3 linked regions of the Stegostoma tigrinum genome follow. The main gene of each other region encodes a partner of the protein of the gene in region 2 in a complex. Links are inferred from orthologs where the notes say so. Each region holds a gene or a part of one and is shown on either strand. Other genes may lie near its edges.

Region 1 (7,214 bases), on a different chromosome or scaffold from region 2:
GGGCTAATGAAAAGAAACATTACTTAGTTGATATACATTATAACTTGCCATATTAGATGTTCAACTAAGGAGAAAAGCCAAAAGCAAGTTCACCATTTCCTTCTACTAACCAATTTCATGGCTGCTCTAATGATAGTTATGCAGAAATCCATAATCCTGCCCTCTGTTCGGTTCAACATAACCGCAACGTCCTGTGCTGTATTTTTAAGAAATTTTCCATAAAGTTTACTCACAATGTTACTGCAAATTGTTAACATAATTTTCCTAGTAACTTTTTCCATCAGAAAGACGTCAAAATAATTAAAATGTCTTTTGTTACTGGTTAAAGTAGTGGAACATCTTTGGCTATTGCCTTACATGTCATCAACAGTAATTTTTCAGTCCATTAAACAGCATGATTTTTCTCAATCCACAATTTAGCCAACTTCCCTTGAACTCCAAGCTATGATAGGCTCAAAGTTTACTGGTATTACAACAAAAAAAAGCAATTTTTACAGAACAATTTTCAGTAAATTTGCTCAATTACAAAGGATGTTCTGGAATTTTTAAAGATTAAGGACACTCATTTTCACAGATTACAGGAATTTGGCATAAACAGCGAGAACCTGTGAAAGCAAACATACAAAACAAAGTCTTTACAATTAACATCATTCATCAGTATTAATGGGTGGATTTCACATTGAAATTACTTCTGAAATGCAGGTGGCAAATGCAATGAGCAAATGGCATGGGAATTTTGACAAAATAACAGTGCACAAAATTCAAAACCAGGAGAAGCAGGTATACCCAAATGGAATAACAATAAGATATTTTCCAGGACTATGGGTAAAATAAAGCAAGGCTCATATTCTATTGAGTTAAGGTATGTCTGGAGAACAGAAAAGTAAAATGTCAAAAAATATTAAGGGTGCCATGCGTTGTAAGTCTAAGACTAGAAGGATGAAGCAAATGAATGTATGGCTGGCAAAGTGCTGCAGGAGGGAGGGCTTTAGATTCCCGAGGCATTGGGACTGCTTGTGGGGTGGGTGGGAACTATACCAGTTAGATGTGTTACACTGAATGTCGTTATGGAGGTTTAAATTAAATTGAAAGGAGTAAGGGGTCCCAAGTCGTAGTTTGGAGGGAAAGCGAAACAGAGATAAGTTAAAATGTTAATAAATAACACTGAAACAGAGGAAAAAGAGGCTAGATAAGAAAGAAGTCAGTTTATCAAAAGTAAACTGAATATATTTTAATGCAAGGACCCCGAGAAATAAGCTAAATGAGCTGAAGGCACTGATACGTACGTGGATGTATGGTATCCTAACTACGACTGAGACTTAGCTGACAGATGAGGAGGACTGGCAGTTCAACACTCCTGGTTAGCTCAGCTGGCTGGTTGCAATGCAGTGATACCAACGGTCAAGTACGACATTGACTGAAGTTACCAAGAGGATTCTGCTTTCTCAACTTGTTCCACGCCTAAGGCACAGTGACCTTCAGGTTAACCCCACCAGTTATCTCTTTATAATAAAACAGCATTCCTATGGTCCTCTGGGGTTATGACAACTTTAACTACAAAGGCCCCCAACAGAGGAGTATAAAACGTGCAGGGATATCTTAAGAGGGAATTAGGACAGCAAAGAGTGTGTGCGAGAAAATACCGACAGACAAAATAAAGGGAAACCCAAAGGGTTTTTTTAAGACATGAAAAGAATGCTTACAAACCATGGTGGGTAGATGGGTATGGGTATGGGCGTGTGCGTGTGCATGTGCATGTACACGTGCATGTACACAGTCCTGAACATCGTGTAGTCTTCACGATGGAAACGGATAATGCTAGTATAGATACCAGGGTGGAGGACTGTAATATATTAGAAGGGCTTTGCATATAGAGAGAAGTACTACTATAGCATTCAACAATGTAAAAAAAGTGGTCAACTCTGCAGGCCCAGATAAGATGCACTGAGCTTGTTGAGGGAAGTAAGGGAGATGTCAGAGGCTCTGCCAGTAATTTTCAAACACCTCTGGCTACTGAAATGCTGCAGGACTAACACTGTCCAAAACAAAAACAAGTTAAGCTCTCTGGACAGAGACCAGATTGTATGCTGTAACCAGGCAAACAAAGAAACTGCATGAAACTACCCCACCATCCAAAAAACCCTTTTGTTTCCACAGTCACCTAATTCATGTCTAACGATCAGTCTAAAGAAGCACAGCAAAAGGAAGGAGCCTGAGTAGCCAATAAATACATTACTCCAAAGAACCCAGTTCTGAAGAGTCCTGTCAGAGTGGAAACATCAAGTCTGTTTTTCTCTCCGCACAAATGCTGTCAGAACTGGTGCATTTCTCCAGCACTTTCTGCTTTTATTTCAGATTGACATTATTTCAGTATTTTGCTTTCATAGAGTAAAGACTTGACAGTGGCTGCATTCCTACTGACCGCACCACCACCAGCTCCCCCTTCCTCAGCGCACACACACGGTTCTTACCTCCGTAGAGGTATGAGACTCTTGTGCAGGCCCTCACAAACTCCAACAGAATCGGGACTCTTTAAATATATCTGCCTCCACAGACCAGGGCACAGGCCTCAGGACTTTCTCCTCCAGTGTCAGGCCATCCCCCCAGTTCACCTTCCTTTAAAGCTTAAAACCTTTACAACATCCCCTCAGGCCCCAATAAAGTCCCGAAAACTAACAATGCCACTACCACCCCCCCCCCTCCACCCAACAAAAAAAAAATCTCTCTTCTCCTCCTGACGGCCCATAGGCCTGGACACTCCCCATCTCGGGGACACATTCCTTCAGGAAGGTCACAGACGCCGCTGGACGGGTGGTGAGCGGGTAACGGTCATAGAAGTTTCTAGATTCCCGGTGCCAACGTTCCCCTCTCCTCTGGGCACCCGCCCGGCATCTCGCATAACCCTGAGCCTGATTAAGGGATTCTTTTCACTCTCTCAAAAGACCACCTCACCAGGGCTCGCGTGCATATTCCTCCATCTTCCTCTGTGACGTACGACCGCAGCCACTACGCGCACGCGCTGCAAAGGGCGCATGTGTAGAAAAGTATCGATTGGAGGTGATGCTTCCTGATTCATGCTCATGCTTGGAGTGTGAGCGTTAATGGTATTGCCAGTTCGAGCATTAGCGGCTCCTCTTAATTAGTTTTTGAAACCAAAGGCTAGATTTTGAAAAGTTGAAAGACGGCCGTTTTATATATAATATATATTGTTAGGAATTATTAAAGTCTGAAGGCTTTTTTAAATAGCAGCAAGCTTCTGAGATCTGAACCAACTCTTTCCAACAAGACTTCTGAATGATGCTGGAAATTTGAAACTGAATCAGAAATTGCTAGCGAAACTGGGCAGATCTGGTAGCATGTATTGAAGAGAAAGCAGTGTTGAAAGTTTGCGCCCAGTCACCCTCTTTCAGGAAATAAGAAACAAAAGAACTGCGGATGCTGTAAATAAGGAACAAAAGCAAAGTTGTTGGAAAAGCTCAGCAGGTCTGGCAGCATCTGTGGAGGAGAAAAAAAAGAGTTAACGTTTCGGGTCCGGTTCTGAGGATGGGTCACCGGACCCGAAATGTTAATTTTTTTTCCCTCCACAGATGCTGCCAGACCTGCTGAGCTTTTCCAACAACTTTGTTTTTGACCCTTTTTCAGGACACTGAACCGGAAGCATTGGCTCTGATTTCTCTCCACAGATGCTTGCCAGACTTGCTGAGTTTCTCCAACATGTTCTGTTTTTGTTTGTTTCTGAATGACAAATACTGTCCAACTTGTGTAGTTCAAAATGGAGATCTAGCATGACCAGCACGTTCATTCCCAAGAGTTGCTAGCCTCACAGCATCAGGTTCAATTACAATCTCGAGCAACTGTCTGTGTGGAATTTGTTACATTCACTCTGTGTCTGTGTGGGTTTCCTTTGGGTGCTTTGGTTTCTTCCCACAGTCAAAAGAGTGGAGTAGTAATTACTGTTTTATAAACTGTTGCATTGTTTTGAAACTTTGGCCCGTTAATAAGAAGGAAGACAGACAAAGGTAATGACCATATGGGAAGTGATTCAAATGGAGGAAGAAACCTACACTACTGTCTGACCCAGCAGTAAACTGCGTAGCTATTGCCTTTTCTGTCTTTTTTCAAGTATCTCTGAACATAGATGTTTAGATTAAAGAAAATAAACAAACAGTGAAATTCACAGCGGACCCTGGAGAAATTTGTGTGGGAGCTCACAGTGGGGGAGCAGCTAAGTGGCTTTTTAAAGTGTAAGCTTACTGTGTTTCTTTTGTAAATCTGCAATAGTGAGTAGAGTGGATGTCTTTTATTTATTATATGTTGTTTTCAAGATTTGTCTCTTGATTAAACTTTAAAAATACAAAAACATAGGTACGAAGCCAGCCTGGAGCCGTGATTTTAAAGCAGCAAGACTGTACTATTTTCTGGGTCTGTAGATTGTTAAGGTGCAAGGATGGCCTTTAGTAGAGTGATATGATCTTCCTATTGGATGTGTGAGATAAGCCAGAGTTTCCACGTTACTGATGATTATGTCTGCAGAAAGTATGTTTGGTTGTGAATCTTATTGGAGCGTATGGATTGGTTGGAGTGGCAGGTAAAGGCAATGAGGAATTTATAAGAGCTAGGGGGTGTGATGGATGGCAGTTTCGGGGAGGGAGGTAAACTGAGGATACAGTCGGGTAAATAGGTCACCTCCAGAAAGGGTAGGCGAGGGAGGCAGGTAGTGCAGGAGTCTCCTGTGGCTATCCCCTCAAACAAATATGCTGTTTTAGAAAATGTAGGCAGTGATGGACTTTCAGGAGAATGTGGCACTGACAACCAGGTTTCTTGTACTGAGACTGACTCAAATGGAATGAAGGGTATGCCACATTCCAAGCGATCGATTGTAACAGGAAAACTCTCTAGTCAGAGGCAGAGACAGATGATTCCACGGCAACAGTGATACATCAGAATGGTGTGCTAACAAGGTGTTGAGCTAGATGAACAGAGCAGGCCAGCCAGCATCAGACCAGCAGGAAAGCTGACGTGTCAGGTCTGGACCCTTCTTCAGAAAAAGGGTCCAGACCCAAAACATCAGCTTTCCTGCTCCTCTGATTCTGCTTAACCTGTTGTGTTCATCTAGCTCTAAACATAGTTATCTCAGATTCTCCAGCATTGGCAGATCCTACTATCTCAGAATGGCGTGTTGCCTCCCTGGAGCCAGGATCAAAGATATCTTGGAGAGGATGCAAAATATTCTCAAAGGGGAGACAGACTAGCAGGAGTTCATTGTACATGTTTGGAACTAATGACTTTGGAAGAGAAAAGGATGAGATTCTGAGGAGAGAATGTAGGAACTTAGACAGGAATTTATAAAGTAGGTCCTCAAAGGCAGTAATATCTGGATTACTCCCAGTGCCATGAGGTAGTGAGGGTAGAAATAGGAGGAAAGAACAGATGAATGTGTGGCTGAGGAGTTGGTGCAGAGGAGAAAAAGTCACAATTTTGGATCGTTGGAATTTCTTCTGGGGTGGAAGTGATCTGCAAAAGAAGGACAGATTGCACCTGAATTGGATGCAGACTAATATACTGGCAGGGAGATTTGTTACAGCTGCTGGGGAGGATTTAAATTAATAAGGGTAGTGGTTAGGAACCAGGGACATAGAGAGGAAAGTGATCAGCCTGAGTCTGGTACAGTTGGGAGAAAGAGTAAGTCAAACAGACAAGGCAGACAGGAACAAAGTAGAGAACCAGGTAGGACTAATAAATTAAATTGCAATTATTTCAATTCAAGAAGGCTAACAAGTAAAGCAGATAAACATAGGGCATAGTTAGGAACTGGGATTGGGATATTAAAGCAATTATGGAGATGTTGCTCAGGGGTGGACTGGACTGAGAGCTTAATGTTCCAGGGTATAGTTGTTACACAATGGATTGAAAGTGGGGCAAGAGGGAAGGGGCTGTGGCATTTTTGATTAGGAATCACATTACAGGATTAAGTGTATTTAGGGAGCATGTTCCTGGGAATACATCTGGGGAGTTATTTAGGTAGAACTCAGAAATTAAAAAGGGATGATCACCTTATTGGAATAGTACTATAGACCCCCACCAATAGTCAGTGGGAAATTGAGAAACAACATGTAAGGAGTTCTCAGTTACCTGTAAGAATAACAGGGTGATATGGGAGGGGATTTTAACGTTCCAAACTTAGACAAGGTCTGCCATAGTGTTAAGGGCTTGGATGGAGAGGAATTTTTTAAGCGCGTGGAAGACAATTTTCTGACTCAGCATGTGGATGTGCCTGCTAGAGAAAGGGTAAAACTTAACCTACTCTTGGGAAATAAAGCAGTGCAGGTGGCTGAGGTGTCAGTGGGGGAGCACTTTGGAGCCAGTGGCCATAATTCTATTAGTTTTCAATAGTGATGGAAAAGAATGGACCGGATCTAAAAGCTAAAGTTTTAAATTGGAAGAAGGTTAATTTCAACAGTATTAGGCAAGAAATTTCAAAAGTTGATGGGGGCAGATGTTCGTAGTTAAGGGAATGGCTGAAAAATGGAAAGCATTCAGAAATGAGATAATGAGAGTCCAAAGACAGTATGTTCTTGTTACGGTGAAGATCAAGGCTGGTAGCTGTAGGGAATGCTAGGTGATGAGAGAAATTGAGATTTTGGTTAAGATTAAGAAGGAAGAGTATGTCACGTATAGACAGCAGAAATTGAGTGATTCCCTGAAAGAATGCAAAGGCAGTAGCGGTATACTTAAGAGGGAATCAGGAGGGCAGAAAGGGGACTAAGATCACTTTGGCACATAGGGATAAGGAGAGTCCAAAGGGATTCTACAAATACGTTAAAGACAAAAGGGCAATGAGGAAGAGAACAGGACTTCTTAAAGATAATCAAAGCCACCGATGTGTGGAACCACAGGAGCTGGGGGAGATATTAAATGAGTATTTTGCATCAGTGTTTGTAGTGGAGAAGGATATGGATGATAGAGAATGTGTAGCTAGGGTAGGCAGTTAGGTCTATTTGGAATGTTCTTTGGAGGATTGGTAAAGCCTCAATGACCTGAATAGCCTCTTTCAGCACTGTAAGGATTCTATAATATTTTGTGCATTACTCTATAATATTCCTCTCTAAAATTAACTGACCAAAAAAAAACTTCAGATGAGGTCTGATTCAATGCCTTCGAAAATAACACAGCAGCTGCTTGAATTGGAATTACGCTATATTCCTTTGTCAAAG
Region 2 (7,804 bases):
TGGAAAAAGCCTCATATTTTCCATTCTATCCATGCTATTCACAATCTTATAAACCTCTCTTAGGTCGCCCCGCAACCCTCCTGCGTTCCAGCAAAAACAAACCCAGTATAGTCAGCCTTTCTTAATTAAAATTACACCAAACTAGGCAACATCCTGGTAAACCTTTTCTGTGCCCTCTCCAAACATCCACATTCATCTGGTAGTGTGGTGACCAGAACTGTTCACAATATTCCAAGTGTGGTCCGACTAAAGTTCTGTAAAGTTGCAGCGTAACCTGTCTGTCCTTATACTTAAAACCCCTTCCAATAAAGGCAAGAATGCCAAAGCCTTTTTTACGACCTTATCAACCTGTACCGCCACCTTCAGTGATCTGTGGACCTGCAGATCTGTCTGCAATTCAATACTCCTAGGGGTTGTGCTATTCACTGTATAATTTCCACCTATACTTGACCTTCCAAAATGTATCACCTCACATTTGTCCAGATTAAAGTCCAGCTGCCATTTTTCTGCCCATGCCTCCAACTTATCTATATTCTACTGTATCCTCTGACAGTCCTCATTGTCCACAAATCTACCAATCTATGTATCATCCGCAAACCTACAAATTGGACCAGCCACGTTTTCCTCCAAATCATTTTGGGGCAGCATGGTGCCACAGTAGGTAGCACTGCTGTCTCACAGTGCCACAGTTCCAAGTTTGATTCCAGCCTTGGGTGACTGTCTGTGTGGAGTTTGCATATTCTCCCAGTGTCTGCATGGGTTTCCTCCGGATACTCTGGTTTCCTCCCACAGTCCAAAGATGTGCAGGTTAGGTGGTTTGGCCATGCGATATTGCCCGTAGTGTTCAGGGAAGTGTAGATTAGGTGGATTATAGGGTAATGGGTCTGGGTGGGATGCTCTGAGGTTTGGTGTGGATTTGTTGGGCCAAAGGGCCTGTTTTCACACTGTAGGGATTCTATGATTTTGGTCAATCTCAAACAGAAGAGGTCCCAGCACTGATACTGCACAACCCTCCATTCCAAAAAGCATCCTTCCACTGCTACCCTGTGTTTCCTATGACTAAGCCAATTCTGTATCAGTCTTACCAGTTCACCCTGATACGGTGTAACATTTTTTTTTTAAACCTTATCAAAGGCTTTGCTGAAGTCCATGTAGACAACATCAACAGCTTTTCCTTCATCAGAGATAATGTGAACTGCAGATGCTGGAGAATCCAAGATAACAAAGTGTGAAGCTGGATGAACACAGCAGGCCAAGCAGCATCTCAGGAGCACAAAAGCTGACGTTTCGGGCCTAGACCCTTCATCAGAGAGGGGGATGGGGAGAGGGTTCTGAAATAAATAGGGAGAGATGGGAAAGCGGACTGAAGATGAATAGAGGAGAAGATAGGCGGAGAGGAGAGTATAGGTGGGGAGAGGATAGGTCAGTCCAGGAGGACAGACAGGTCAAGGAGGCGGGAAGAGGTTGGTAGGTGGGAAATGGAGGTGCGGCTTGAAGTGGGAGGACGGGATAGGTGAGAGGAGGAACAGGTTAGGGAGGCGGGGACGAGCTGGGTTGGTTTTGTGATGCAGTGGGGGGAGGGAATGAGCTGGGCTGGTTTTGGGATGCAGTGGGGGAGGGGGAGATTTCGAAGCTTGTGAAGTCCACATTGATACCATTGGGCTGCAGGGTTCCCAAGCGGAATATGAGTTGCTGTTCCTGCAACCTTCGGGTGGCATCATTGTGGCACTGCAGGAGGCCCATGATAGACATGTCGTCTAAGGAATGGGAGGGGGAGTTAAAATCGTTCACGACTGGGAGGTGCAGTTGTTTATATTGTGAACCGAGCAGAGGTGTTCTGCAAAGCGGTCCCCAAGCTTCCGCTTGGTTTCCCCAATGTAGAGGAAGCCACACTGGGTATAATGGATACAGTATATACTACATTAGCAGATGTGCAGGCTTCCTAAACAACCACAGGAAGTGCTACACTTGCCCCCAGACCTCCTCCCTCACCCCCACCCCAGGCCCCAAGATGACTTTCCTTATTACATCTGCTTAATAAGGAAAGTCATCTTGGGGCCTGGGGTGGGGGTGAGGGAGGAGGTCTGGGGGCAAGTGTAGCACTTCCTGTGGTTGTTTAGGAAGGTGCCGGTTGTGGTGGGGTTGGAGGGGAGTGTGGAGCGGACAAGGGAGTCACGGAGAGAGTGGTCTCTCTGGAAGGCAGACAAGGGTGGGGATGGAAAAATGTCTTGGGTGGTGGGGTCAGATTGTAGATGGCAGAAGTGTTGGAGGATGATGCGTTGTATCCGGAGGTTGGTGGGGTGGTATGTGAGGTCGCGGGGGATTCTCTTAGGGCGATTATGGCGGGGGCGGGGTGTGAGGGATGTGTTGCGGGAGACACGGTCAAGGGTGTTCTCGACCACTGCAGGGGGGACATTGTGGTCCTTGAAGAATGCTGCCATCTGGGATGTGCGGGAGTGGAATGCCTCATCCTGGGAGCAGATGCGGCGGAGGCGAAGGAATTGGGAATAGGGTGCTGGAATTTTTGCAGGGGGGTGGGTGGGAGGATGTGTATTCTAGGTAGCTGTGGGAGTCGGTGGGCTTGAAGTGGACATCAGTTTCTAGCTGGTTGCCTGAGATGGAGGCAGAGGGGTCCCGGAAGGTGAGGGATGTTTTGGCCAAAGATATCTGTCAGTGCTCCAGCAATTTGTTCTCTTGCCTCTCTCAATATTCTAGGATAGATCCCATCAGGACCCAGGGACTTATCTACCTGAATACTTTTTAAGACGCACAACACCTCTCTCTTTTTAATAGCAACTTTGTTTAGAAACTCAACACTGCCTTCCCTGAGATTATCCTGAACCAATTCTTTCTCTTTGGTGAATACTGACACAAAGTATTCATTTAGGTCCTCATCTACTTCTTCAGGCTTCACAGATAGATTCTCTCCCTTGTCCTTGAGTGGGCCAAACCTTTCCCTGGGTACCTTGTTGCTTTCATAGATGTATGAAAAATTTTGGGATTCTCCTTAATCCTGTTTGCTAACAACTTTTCATGACCCCTTTTAGCCCTTATAATTCCTTATTTAAGTTCTCTACTACTTTTCATATGTACTTCAAGGGCTTCATGAGTGCCCATCCACCTAGATCATACGTATGCTTCCTTTTTCTTTCTGACCAAGATAATAACATCCCTGGTCATCCAAGGTTCACATAACTTTCTTTATTCTTTCAGGAAATGAGGGCATCGCTGGCTTGGCAGTATTTATTGCCCAGAGAGCAGTTAAGAGCCAACCACACTGCTGTGAATCTGGAGTCACATAGGCCAGACCAGGTGAGGATGGCAGATTTCCTTCCCTGAAAGACATCAGTGAACTAGATGGAATTTCCCTAACAATCAACAATGGATTCAGTCATCATGAGATGTTTAATTCCAGATATTTATTGAATTCAAGGTCCCCTGAACGTTATCTGGGTCTCTGGATTAACAGTCCAGTGATAATACCACTAGGCCATTGCCTCCCCTATGGCCATTGCCATAGCTATATGTCATTCGCGCAGGAATGTGCTTCTCCTGAACTCTTATCAACTGCCATTTAAAATATTCCCAAATGTCGATGTAGATTTACCCTCAAACAGCTACCTCCAATCCAAATTCACCAGTTCCCGCCTAATACTGTTGTAGTTCGCCTTCCCCCAATTTAACACTATAAGACATAGGAACAGAAATTAGGCCATTCAGCCCATCTAGTCTGCTCAAACATTCAATCATGGCTGATAAGTTTCTCAACCCCATTCTCCCACTTCCTCCCCATAACTATTGATCCCCCCAACAGTCAAGAACCGATCTATCTCAGTCTTAAAGAAACTCAATGACCTGACCTCCACAGCCTTCTGAGGCAGTGCATTCCATAGATTCACCACTCTCTGGCTGAAGAAGTTTCTCGTTACCTCCATTCTAAAACCTCTTCCCTTTACTCTAAGGCTGTGCCCTCAGATCCTGGTCTCTCCTACTGATGGAAACATCGTCCCAACATCCACTCTGACCAGACTTTTCAGTATTCTGTAAGTTTCAATTAGATCCCCCTGCACCCTTCTAATCTCCGTCAAGTATAGACCCAGAGTCGTCAACCATTCCTTCAATATACTTTTCATTCTTTCACACGGGAAAGCTGTTATCCCCATCCACGAGTAACCTTTGGCCACCTGATGTGGAGGGAGAGGGGCAAATTAAAGGATCATTTGAGACCTGGGCCTGGTCCAAATGGCCATCAAAAGTCCAGACAGCACACTGTCAAGAGGGTTATTAGCTCAAATGCCTGTTTCTATCTAGAGGTAAGTATCTGTCATGATGAAAGGTCCACAAAAGGTCATATGGTCTATTCCTGCTCCCAGTTATTACTTCTTATTTACTGCCACCAAGTCCACACCACTAGATGTGTCCACAAGTGCAACTGAGATCTTCCACAACCACTGGAAGGGCAACAATTGATGGCCAATATTAGGAATTCCATGACGTTATTGCCTTGTATTTCTGTGCACTTTTACGAATTTGGTTTTGGATAGCAACATTGAACATCTAATTGGTGTGTATTATAATGAGTTGGGATTGCATTATGTTTAAGAAATTGGTCTGTGCCTTAGAAGGGTTAACGACTTGAAACAGACATCCTCTATTTCAGTAGCAGATATGTGCCCCGCTGCAACAACTGAAACAACCAATGAAAAAGGTAGGCGGAAATCGGGGGAAAGCAGTATGGATTTTGTAGTTTTTGTCGAATCGTGTTCTTGCAACCAATAAGCAGGCGGAACTACATGTCCCACCGATCTATTCAGACGCTGATCCAATGGAAGAATGACAGCGAGGTAGAAAGTATAGTTTCTACAATAGAAAAGAGAAACAAATGGCTAATGTTTACTTTTTGCGAGCGGTGTGCACACACAGAAGAAGGCTGGTGTTCCAGTACAAAACCCAATTCTCGCTACACTGTTCCGCACGACCCCAAATCTGTAACTCGTTTCGTGAGAGGCCTGGAATTGTAGGAGTCACTACTTGTCCGCTGCAAAAGCAGCACTCACTTTACTTCGTTAGCACGGTTCCCTGGCGGTGCATTTTCACAGAGACTAAATTGAGAAATCCAGCTCCGGGGAAGAAGCAAGAAAACAAAGTATCATTGAGAAAGAGTACCCCGCCCGCATCAACAACTCAGAAAGGTAAAATTGTTCCAAATTGTCCCTTCGAACTAACACCCTGTAATCTGAGTATTTAACACTGCTGTCCGAGATCAAGGTCTGTACAAAACTAAGTTATTCCACTTCCTTACCTTAGCCTCCACAGTTAGCTCAGAATTCAAAGTTAAAACCAATTAGAAGAGGAGTGCAATGAGTGATATCGGGAAAAAAAAGTCTGACATAGACGTACCAAAATTCAAAGAACTTGAATTTGTTTAGCACCTTCTTATTGTCAACTATCCCACAGTGTTCCAGGTGGTTCATTGGAGTTTACCAGACAAAGTAAAAAGTTGCCCATATGTTGGCAGCAACAGTGAGACAAATCCAGCCTGATCAGTTATAATTCTTGTCAGCCTAGCTTCAATCATCAGGTTAAAATGTGCTATTAAGTGACACTTGTACTGCAAAACGTGCTCATTTTGTGTTCCACTGGGGCCACTTGTTCCTGGACCTCATTGCAGCCTTGGCCCAAAAGTGGACGAAAGAGCTGAATTCCAGGATTGAAGGTGGAAGTGGCTGCTACTGACATAGATACAGCTGAAGTTGTGACACTGAGGAGCTATTAGAAAAAATGATGCCAATGGGAATCAGGGAGAAAACTCTTCACTAACTGGAGACTTATCAAGTACAGAGAAAGGAGATTGTTGGAAGCCAGTTATTTCAGCAGTAGGAGCTCTTCAGGTCAGTGAGAAAAATCCAACTATCTTCAGCAGCTCCATCCATTTTAGGGTCAGAATATTTGACAATTATTTTGTTTTCTGGTCCTCTCGCAATTATTCAAACAATGAAGTCATCTGTGCTTTCATGCAGTTAGTCAGGTAACATCCAAGTTTGGATTGAAAAGTGTCAAGAAAAAGTTGTGAACAGAAATGCCCATCCCCAAAAAATGGATCTAACAACATCCACTTCACATTCATTGGTATTTCCATCGACCTACCCCTCATGATCAATATCATGGGTGTAGAGTTTATCATTGACCAAAATGTGAGACCAACATAATGAATTCTGTAATTACAATACTATTTGAAGGTATGATGACTGTAGTGATTACACATTTTCTAATTTGTTAAATTCTATCCATCAAGCCAAAATCTAATGCACTGCACTCACCTTACTGTGATAGTACAGAGATAATGGGAACTGCAGATGCTGGAGATTCCAAGATAAGATTCCAAGATTCCAAGTCTAGGCCCGAAACGTCAGCTTTTGTGCTCCTGAGATGCTGCTTGGCCTGCTGTGTTCGTCCAGCCTCACATTTTATTATCTGTGATAGTACAGATCCCAGTTGTTACATTTTCACTGGGACTAAATTGAGAAATCCAGCTCCGGAGAAGGAACAAGACAACAAAGTATCCTTGAAAAAGTGTGCCCCATCCTCATCATGCTTGCATGCAGCTCCAACTACACTCCAGACTTTACACTATCCAGGGCAAGGAAGTCCAATTGATCAATTGCTCAGACACCACTTGAAATGTCATTCATACCAGCAGGGCTGCAGTAAGTGGTATCTACCAGGTTCTGTTCAGAAACTTACCAAGATGTCTTCAACAGCATTTTGAAAGCCTTCCATCTTTACCATCTGGAAGAACAAAGGTATCTGGCAGACAGGAACACTGCCAAGTTCCCCTTCTATGTCACACAAGGCTCTGACCTATTAGCCTATCCGTCATTGTCACTCGGTTAAAGTTTTTGAACTTATCTAACAACATTGTGAGCATACCAATGCTACGTGACCTGCAGCAGCTCAAAAAAGAAATTCCCCACAAGCAAGGGTGACTAGGTAATGGGCAATAAATGCTGGCCTTTCCAGTGATGTCCACAACCTGTGAATTTTTATTTTAGATGTGCGTGAAAGAACATCAATTACAGCCCTTGCTGCAGTAGATCAATGTGAGAACCTAGTTTTAAACTGCAAAGTGCTATTTACCACAATGAGATGGTTGACTAGTTATTCCTAATGAATTTACCTAATCCCTGAACAACATGCGCCATGGGGAGAAAGTTGGAAAAATCACGAGAGATGGCCAGCAAGTTGAGGACAAAGTTCCATTTTCCAACTAAGTGTTGAATGATGAGACAAGATTCTTGCGCTTGAGTGATGAGAGGCATTTTAGTGCATATCTCCCTATTAATTATTCTATCCTCAGTATGGTGAAGTTTCCCATTCTCCTGCCTAACAGACAAAAACTAGATGTTGACAAATTTCCTGATATAAAAGCCAGAGCCGTTCCCTGGTGAATCTATCTGGCCTCTTGCCCATCTAAACATTCATCTTTGACATCTTTGGACATGCTCCATAGGCAATGCACACTCCCACCCTGACTACAGATAGAGATCTGACGTTTACCAGCGTCAGTGTATCATCTGATCCATAGCATATTTCTGCACTTCAAGCCTGTGTTTTGGAGCATGCTGGCATACTTCATCTCAATGCTGTTGCCAAAACACTCTGCGCACAAAGGGGCACCCAAGTCACAGATTGGATCAGGCTCATCAAAGGGCAATTTGCTAGCTCTCTTGGGTTAACTTGCATTGCGCTTACTTAAATGCTCGTGGAATCTCTGCCTTGCCTTAATTTTAACGCTTTGTCCCCT
Region 3 (7,540 bases), on a different chromosome or scaffold from region 2:
GCAATAATTAAGATCGTTCAATCTCACGCTTTCATGAGTCGCATAGATATTTATTCAAAGATTAGGGTTAACTTTAAATACCATCCCATGTATAAATCCTTATGTACCTCACGACGCCAAGATTGATTGACTGATTGTTATTAGGACTTAATGACGAACAGCATTCTGAATAATCTTTTCCCCTAACCACCACAGATTCAGAGAAGAAATAATGACAGAAACAGAACTGAGTTATCTGGCCTCTAAGAGTTGGTTTGCTGGAGCTTCACACAGCCCTCAGTTTAAACCTACCTGCACTTATTGAATCACCCAAACCTATAGGCTTAATATTGGAGAAAGAGAAAGCCACTTTACCTTCACACTAGGAGGGCAAGCTTTAATAAAGTATCCACACAAGTCCACTTAGCAAAGCGCAGACATATAACATTCAAGTCTTAAAAAGGCATTGAAAGTCAGTTCCAAATGCCACAGTGAAGCATAGACTTGCGAACCATTTTAGGTTATATAGTATAGAATGACACATTACATTAAAAACATCAGAAAGTATTTTATTTCACCCATGAAAGATTTTCAAACAGGTTCATGGAGCCCAGAATACTTCAAATGGAAAAATATTTTCTACTTACTTGGATCAAATATCGAGGATCAAGGTTCAGATATGGAGACAAAGGGCTCATTCCAGTTACTGAAAACGGCAAAGGTAAAGGTTAGCTCCAATAATATCCCTTGTCATTTTTGTATCTTACAGTACCACTCTACATATTAGTTTTTTTTCTTTCCCAGTTACCCACATTCCCACTTTAGTCAGACCGTCAACAACAGATATTTACGCAAAGGGAAGTTAGGAACCGGCAGTAGTGTCACAGTTTAGAACCAATCTTGCACATTTACATAGATAATGGGAACTGCAGATGCTGGAGAATTCCAAGATAATAAAATGTGAGGCTGGATGAACACAGCAGGCCAAGCAGCATCATTTTTGCACATTTACATGGCTGGTTCAGCTAAATTTCTGGTCAATGACTCAGGATGTTGCAACTGAATATTAATGTGATTGTCTAGATTCTCTCGCTGAAGATGGCGAGAGAAGGGAAAGACTCACATGAAGGTAAAGAGGAATCGAAAAGCTTTTACAGGCTTAAAAGATTAAAAAGGAAGTGTAAATTTAATTTGGGACCAAAACAGGGGTTCAATGTATGGAGGTATCCAGTATGGATGAAGCAAAAATACTAAATGTTGGAAATCTGAAATTAAAACAGAAATTGCAGGAGAAACTCTGCAGGTTTGGCAGCATCTGTGGAGACAGGAACACAGCTAACACGTTCAATCCAATTTAACTCTTCAAAATTGAAGGTGGCTGGAAAACGATTGATTGGAGGTTACCACTAGCGACTTGGTCGATACTTATCCCACAATTAACATAATACTAAAAGGAGGATTTTTGGTTATCATGCTTTTGATTACAAGAATGTGCACACAGATGTCACTTTTCCCACATTATAACTTCCTACAGTTCAAAACTATTTAATTGGCTGCGAAGTATTCAAGACATCTGGTGGTAGTCTTATTCTCTTCCTGCATACTCTGCTTTAGTTGCATCAGCATCAGTTTAATGTTAATATTCCAATAATATTTTCTAATAATTTATGCCATTTTAATGGGTGGTTCTACCTGCTGAGATGGTGCTGCTATAATGAAAACTTTTAAACAGAAATAATCTAAAAATGGGACTTGATTTCCAATGGCAGGATTGAGATTATTTCTTTTGGCAGCTGGTTCAGTTGCAGGAATGCCCTTCGGAAGGTTAACTGTTCTTCTGCTGACTAATTCTGAATCCATGTAAATGTAAATGCAACACCCAACTGAGTCCAATCACATTTACCAATGAGGCCCAGATTCATGTCAACGTTTCAGGTATTTATCCTTCTTCAAAAGAACGGTAATACCTGAAACATTAAATTCTCCTTTCCTTCAGATGCTGCCTGGCTTGCTGTGTTCTTCCAGTCTCCTGTTTGTTTAACTTGGATTCCAGCATCTGCAATTTTTCTTTTGTCTCTAACCAGATTCAAGTCCGGTCTACTCCAGAGATGTGCAATAACATCTCTGAACAGGTAGATGAGAAAATTTCAAAAAGACTGAAGGGCCGTGGGAAAGCGGGGATCCATGATCACTGGCATTCTGGCTAGCCAACAGCAGGTGTGGGGGCACCGGACAGTTCAAGTTAGGAGGTCCGTGTGCTGACATCTCCCGGTGTACGTCGAAGCGAAGCGGAGCGGGGGGGGGGGGGGGAAGAGAAACGGGGAGAGGTACGTTATTCCACCGATCATTTAAAGGGTATCATCAGCCCCAAAATATGGTCATGGCAACGGTCTTGGAGACATCAGGAAGAGCTGGGTTCGACTACACACAACACGATGCAACTGGAATAGCTAGAAGCATGACATTTCACTCAGATTTTCTCCTGCCTAGGTACAGGTTATATTTGGTTTTTAAAAAAGGACAAGGGATGAGAAACGGGAGGACTTGAACCTTAACAGGGACATCAAATGAAAATCCCAGAGTGTGGTTATTAAATCCTCATGTTGCGTAATAACAACTCGTGGTACTTTATCAAATCCAAATACAGCTCCCAGCTTTCCCCATTACAATCTACCATAGACCCTGAGAAAACTGTACGAGGGGTTGGTTATACGAACTAAGAGCATTCGGCCAGAGTTAGGCTAAACCAGGCGCTGACACTAGTGAAGATGCGGCCTACTGTCCCAGGCTTCGCTCTCTTACTCACAGGGAACACGGGAAAGGTCGGGCTGAGAATAATCTGGCACCGAGGAGCCAGCGCCACCGCCGCCGCTGAAAAGGCCGAACCCAGCCCGTAAGCCTCCCCCAGTCCCCGAGTTGTCCATTTCCGTCCTTCTGAGGGGGATCGAATTTAAAAACGATCCGTCCGTCACCTCGACCGATTCCAGACTCACCGACCACGGGAAACCATAGCGACCGCGCGACACTTTACAGTAGTATGACCTCCTCACTTTACGGCCCGGTTCCTTCATCACGTGCTGGTCACGTTGCTGCCGCCATGATGATGAGGACACGGGTCACGTGGTGCTTGGGAGCGACGTTTATAATTTACCCTCAAAAAAAAGGGACAAAGGTGCTTGTCATTCCTGTTCATTCTCTTTCGGTCGTCAGAGAACTTCATCCTAGATTTCAGACTTGTACTATGACAAACCCATTCCGGTCAGGGGCAAAATTCCCAAAACCAGCCGAGTGAAGATGGGCACTGCCCCCTGGGCACTGACCCTGGTCACCGTCTCTGGACACTGACTCTGTTGACTGTCTCCAGGCACCACCCCCTGGGTACTGTCCCTGTTTACCGTCTCCGGCCACTGCCCACGGGGTACTGACCCTGTTCATCATCTCTGGGCACTGCCTGCTGGTCACTGTTTCTGTTCACCGTCTCTGGACACTGTCACTGGACACCGCCTGCTGGACACTGTCACTGTTCACCGTCTCTGGACACTGTCACTGTTCACCGTCTCTGGACACTGTCACTGTTCACCGTCTCTGGGCACTGCCCCCTGGGCACTGACTCTGTTCACTGTCTCCGGGCACCACCCCCTGGGCACTATCTCTGTTCACTGTCTCCAGGCACTGCCCCCTGGGCACTGTCCCTGTTCACTGTCTCGGGGCACTGCCCCTGGGCACTGTCTCTGTTCACCATCTCTGGACACTGCCCGCTGGATATTGTCTCTGTTCACCATCTCCAGGCACTGCCCGCTGTGTACTGTCACTGTTTACTGTCTCCGGCCACTGCCCATGGGGTACTGACCCTGTTCATCAACTCTGGGCACTGCCCACTGGGCACTGTCTCTGTTCACTGTCTCTGGGCACTGCCTCTGTTCATTGTCTCTGGGCACTACCTCTGTTCACCGTCTCTGGGCACCGCCTGCTGGGCACTGTCTCTGTTCACCGTCTCTGGACACTGTCTCTGTTCACCGTCTCCGGGCACTGCCCGCTGCGCACTGTCCCTCTTTACTGTCTCCAGGCACTGCCCACTGGGCACTGTGTCTGTTCACCGTCTCCGGGTACTGCCTCTGCTCAGCATCTCTGGGCACTGCCACAGTTCACCATCTCTGGGCACTGTCTCTGTTCACTGTCTCAGGGCACTGCCCACTGGGCATTGTGTCTGTTCACCGTCTCCGGGCACTGCCTCTGTTCACCGTCTCTGGGCACCGACTCTGTTCACTGTCTTCGGGCACCACCCACTGGGCACTGACTCTGTTCACTGTCTCCGGGCACCACCCCCTGGGCACTATCTCTGTTCACTGTCTTTGGGCACTGCCCCCTGGGCACTGTCCCTGTTCACTGTCTCGGGGCACTGCCCCTGGGCACTGTCTCTGTTCACCATCTCCGGACACTGCCCGCTGGGTACTGTCTCTGTTCACCGTCTCTGGGCACTGTCTCTGTTCACCATCTCTGGGCACTGCCCCCTGGGCACTGACTCTGTTCACTGTCTCCGGGCACCACCCCCTGGACACTATCTCTGTTCACCATCTCTGGGCACTGCCCACTGGTCACTGTTTCTGTTCACCGCCTCCGGGCACTGCCTGCTGGACACTGTCTCTGTTCACCGTCTCTGGACACTGCCTGCTGGGCAATGTCTCTGTTCATCATCTCCGGATACTGCCCGCTCGGCACTGTCCCTGTTCACCGTCTCCAGGCACTGTCCCTGTTCACTGTCTCTGGGCACTGCCCGCTGGGCACTGTCTCTGTTCACTGTCTCCGGACACTGCCCGCTGGGCACTGTCTCTGGACACTGCTGCTGGATGAAGTCTCTGGACACTGCCCACTGGTCACTGTCTCTGTTCACCGTCTCCGGCCACTGCCCGCTCGGCACTCCTCTCTTCACCGTCTCTGGGCACTGCCCGCTGGGCACTTTCTCTGTTCACTGTCTCTGGACACTGCCTGCTGGGCACTGTCCCTGTTCACCATCTCCGAGCACTACCCGCTGGGTACTGTCTCTGTTCACCGACTCTGGACACTGCCCGCTGAGCACTGTCTCTGGACACTGCTGCTGGATGAAGTTTCTGGATACTGCCCACTGGTCACTGTCTCTGTTCGCCGTCTCTGGGCACTGTCCCTGTTCACCGTCTCTGGGCACTGCCCGTTGGGCACTGTCTCTGTTCACTGTCTCCGGACACTGCCCGCTGGGCACTGTCTCTGGACACTGCTGCTGGATGAAGTTTCTGGACACTGCCCACTGGTCACTGTCTCTGTTCGCCGTCTCTGGGCACTGCCTCTGTTCACCATCTCTGGGCACCGCCTGCTGGACACTGTCACTGTTCACCGTCTCTGGACACTGTCTCTGTTCACCGTCTCTGGGCACTGCCCCCTGGGCACTGACTCTGTTCACTGTCTCCGGGCACCACCCCCTGGGCACTATCTCTGTTCACTGTCTCCAGGCACTGCCCCCGGGCACTGTCTCTGTTCACCATCTCTGGACACTGCCCGCTGGGTACTGTCTCTGTTCACCATCTCCAGGCACTGCCCGCTGGGTACTGTCCCTGTTTACCGTCTCCGGCCACTGCCCACGGGGTACTGACCCTGTTCATCATCTCTGGGCACTGCCTGCCAGGCACTGTCTCTGTTCACCGTCTCCAGGCACTGTCCCTGTTCACCGTCTCTGGGCACTGCCCGCTGGACACTGTCTCTGTTCACCGTCTCTGGACACTGTCTCTGTTCACCGTCTCTGGGCACTGCCCCCTGGGCACTGACTCTGTTCACTGTCTCCGGGCACCACCCCCTGGGCACTATCTCTGTTCACTGTCTCCAGGCACTGCCCCCTGCGCACTGTCCCTGTTCACTGTCTCGGGGCACTGCCCCTGGGCACTGTCTCTGTTCACCATCTCTGGACACTGCCCGCTGGGTACTGTCCCTGTTTACCGTCTCCGGCCACTGCCCACGGGGTACTGACCCTGTTCATCATCTCTGGGCACTGCCCACTGGGCACTGTCTCTGGGCACTGCCTCTGTTCAGCGTTTCTGGACACTGTCTCTCTTCACCGTCTCTGGGCACCGCCCGCTGGGCACTGTCTCTGTTCACCATCTCCGGGCACTGCCCGCTGCGCACTGTGTCTGTTCACCGTCTCCGGGTACTGCCTCTGCTCAGCATCCCTGGGCACTGCCTCAGTTCACCGTCTCTGGGCACTGCCTCAGTTCACCGTCTCTGGGCACTGCCCGCTGGGCACTGACTCTGTTCACTGTCTTCGGGCACCACCCCCTGGGCACTGCCTCTGTTCACCGTCTCTGGGCACTGCCCCCTGGGCACTGCCTCTGTTCACCGTCTCTGGGCACTGCCCCCTGGGCACTGTCCCTGTTCACTGTCTCGGGGCACTGCCCCTGGGCACTGTCTCTGTTCACCGTCTCCGGGCACTGCCCCCTGGGCACTGTCCCTGTTCACTGTCTTCGGGCACCACCCCCTGGGCACTGACTCTGTTCACTGTCTCCGGGCACCACCCCCTGGGCACTATCTCTGTTCACTGTCTCTGGGCACTGCCCCCTGGGCACTGTCCCTGTTCACTGTCTCGGGGCACTGCCCCTGGGCACTGTCTCTGTTCACCATCTCTGGGCACTGCCCACTGGTCACTGTTTCTGTTCACCGTCTCTGGACACTGCCCGCCAGGCACTGCCTCAGTTCACCGTCTCTGGGCACTGTCTCTCTTCACCATCTCTGGGCACCGCCCGCTGGACACTGTCTCTGTTCACTGTCTCTGGGTACTGCCCGCTGGACACTGTCTCTGTTCACTGACTCTGTTCACTGCCCCCGGGCACTGTCTCTGTTCACCATCTCTGGACACTGCCCGCCGGGCACTGTCCCTGTTCACTGTCTCTGGCCACTGCCCGCTGCGCACTGTCTCTGTTCTCCGTCCCCGGACACTGCCCGCTGGGTATTGTCTCTGTTCACCGTCTCTGGGCACTGCCCGCAGGGCACTGTCTCTGTTCACCGTCTCTGTTCACTGCCCGCTGGACACTGTCTCTGTTCACCGTCTCCGGGCACTGCCCGCTGAGCACTGTCTGTGTTCACCGTCTCCAGGCACTGTCCCTGTTCACCGTCTCTGGCCACTGCCCGCTGGGTACTGTCTCTGTTCACCATCTCTGGGCACTGCCCGCTGGGCACTGTCACTGTTCACCGTCTCTGGACACTGTCTCTGTTCACCGTCTCTGGCCACTGCCCGCTGGGCACTGTCTCTGTTCATCGTCCCCGGACACTGCCTGCTGTGCACTGTCTCTGTTCACTGTCTCCAGGCACTACCCGCCAGGCAATGTCTCTGTTTACTCTCTCTGGGCACTGCCTGCTGGACACTGTATCTGTTCACCATCTGTGTCTACTCTTTTCAGAATCTGCCTACTATCCACTATCTCTGGAACTAAAATGAAGTTGGTGGAAAAGCTCAGCAGGTCTGGCAGCATCTGTGGAGGCGAAAACTGAGTTAACATTTCGGGCCCGGTGACACTTCCTCAGAACTATCTCTGGATACTGA

What was found.
Region 1: timm21 (region 2) and timm17a share a complex: the UniProt entries of both Homo sapiens proteins name them as parts of the TIM23 complex. The link is inferred for Stegostoma tigrinum from reciprocal best matches to the Homo sapiens genes TIMM21 and TIMM17A.
Region 3: timm21 (region 2) and timm23a share a complex: the UniProt entries of both Homo sapiens proteins name them as parts of the TIM23 complex. The link is inferred for Stegostoma tigrinum from reciprocal best matches to the Homo sapiens genes TIMM21 and TIMM23.

The regions. Positions count from the first base shown.
Region 1 is NC_081374.1:27,524,135-27,531,348, forward strand, and holds the start of timm17a (mitochondrial import inner membrane translocase subunit Tim17-A), read right to left. Parts: upstream 3,022-7,214; 5' UTR 2,979-3,021; coding exon 2,953-2,978; intron 4-2,952; coding exon 1-3. UniProt on the Homo sapiens protein: Essential component of the TIM23 complex, a complex that mediates the translocation of transit peptide-containing proteins across the mitochondrial inner membrane.
Region 2 is NC_081358.1:59,525,438-59,533,241, forward strand, and holds the start of timm21 (mitochondrial import inner membrane translocase subunit Tim21-like), read left to right. Parts: upstream 1-4,783; 5' UTR 4,784-4,882; coding exon 4,883-5,192; intron 5,193-7,804. UniProt on the Homo sapiens protein: Participates in the translocation of transit peptide-containing proteins across the mitochondrial inner membrane.
Region 3 is NC_081390.1:6,218,505-6,226,044, reverse strand, and holds the start of timm23a (mitochondrial import inner membrane translocase subunit Tim23), read right to left. Parts: upstream 3,022-7,540; 5' UTR 2,904-3,021; coding exon 2,786-2,903; intron 686-2,785; coding exon 627-685; intron 1-626. UniProt on the Homo sapiens protein: Essential component of the TIM23 complex, a complex that mediates the translocation of transit peptide-containing proteins across the mitochondrial inner membrane.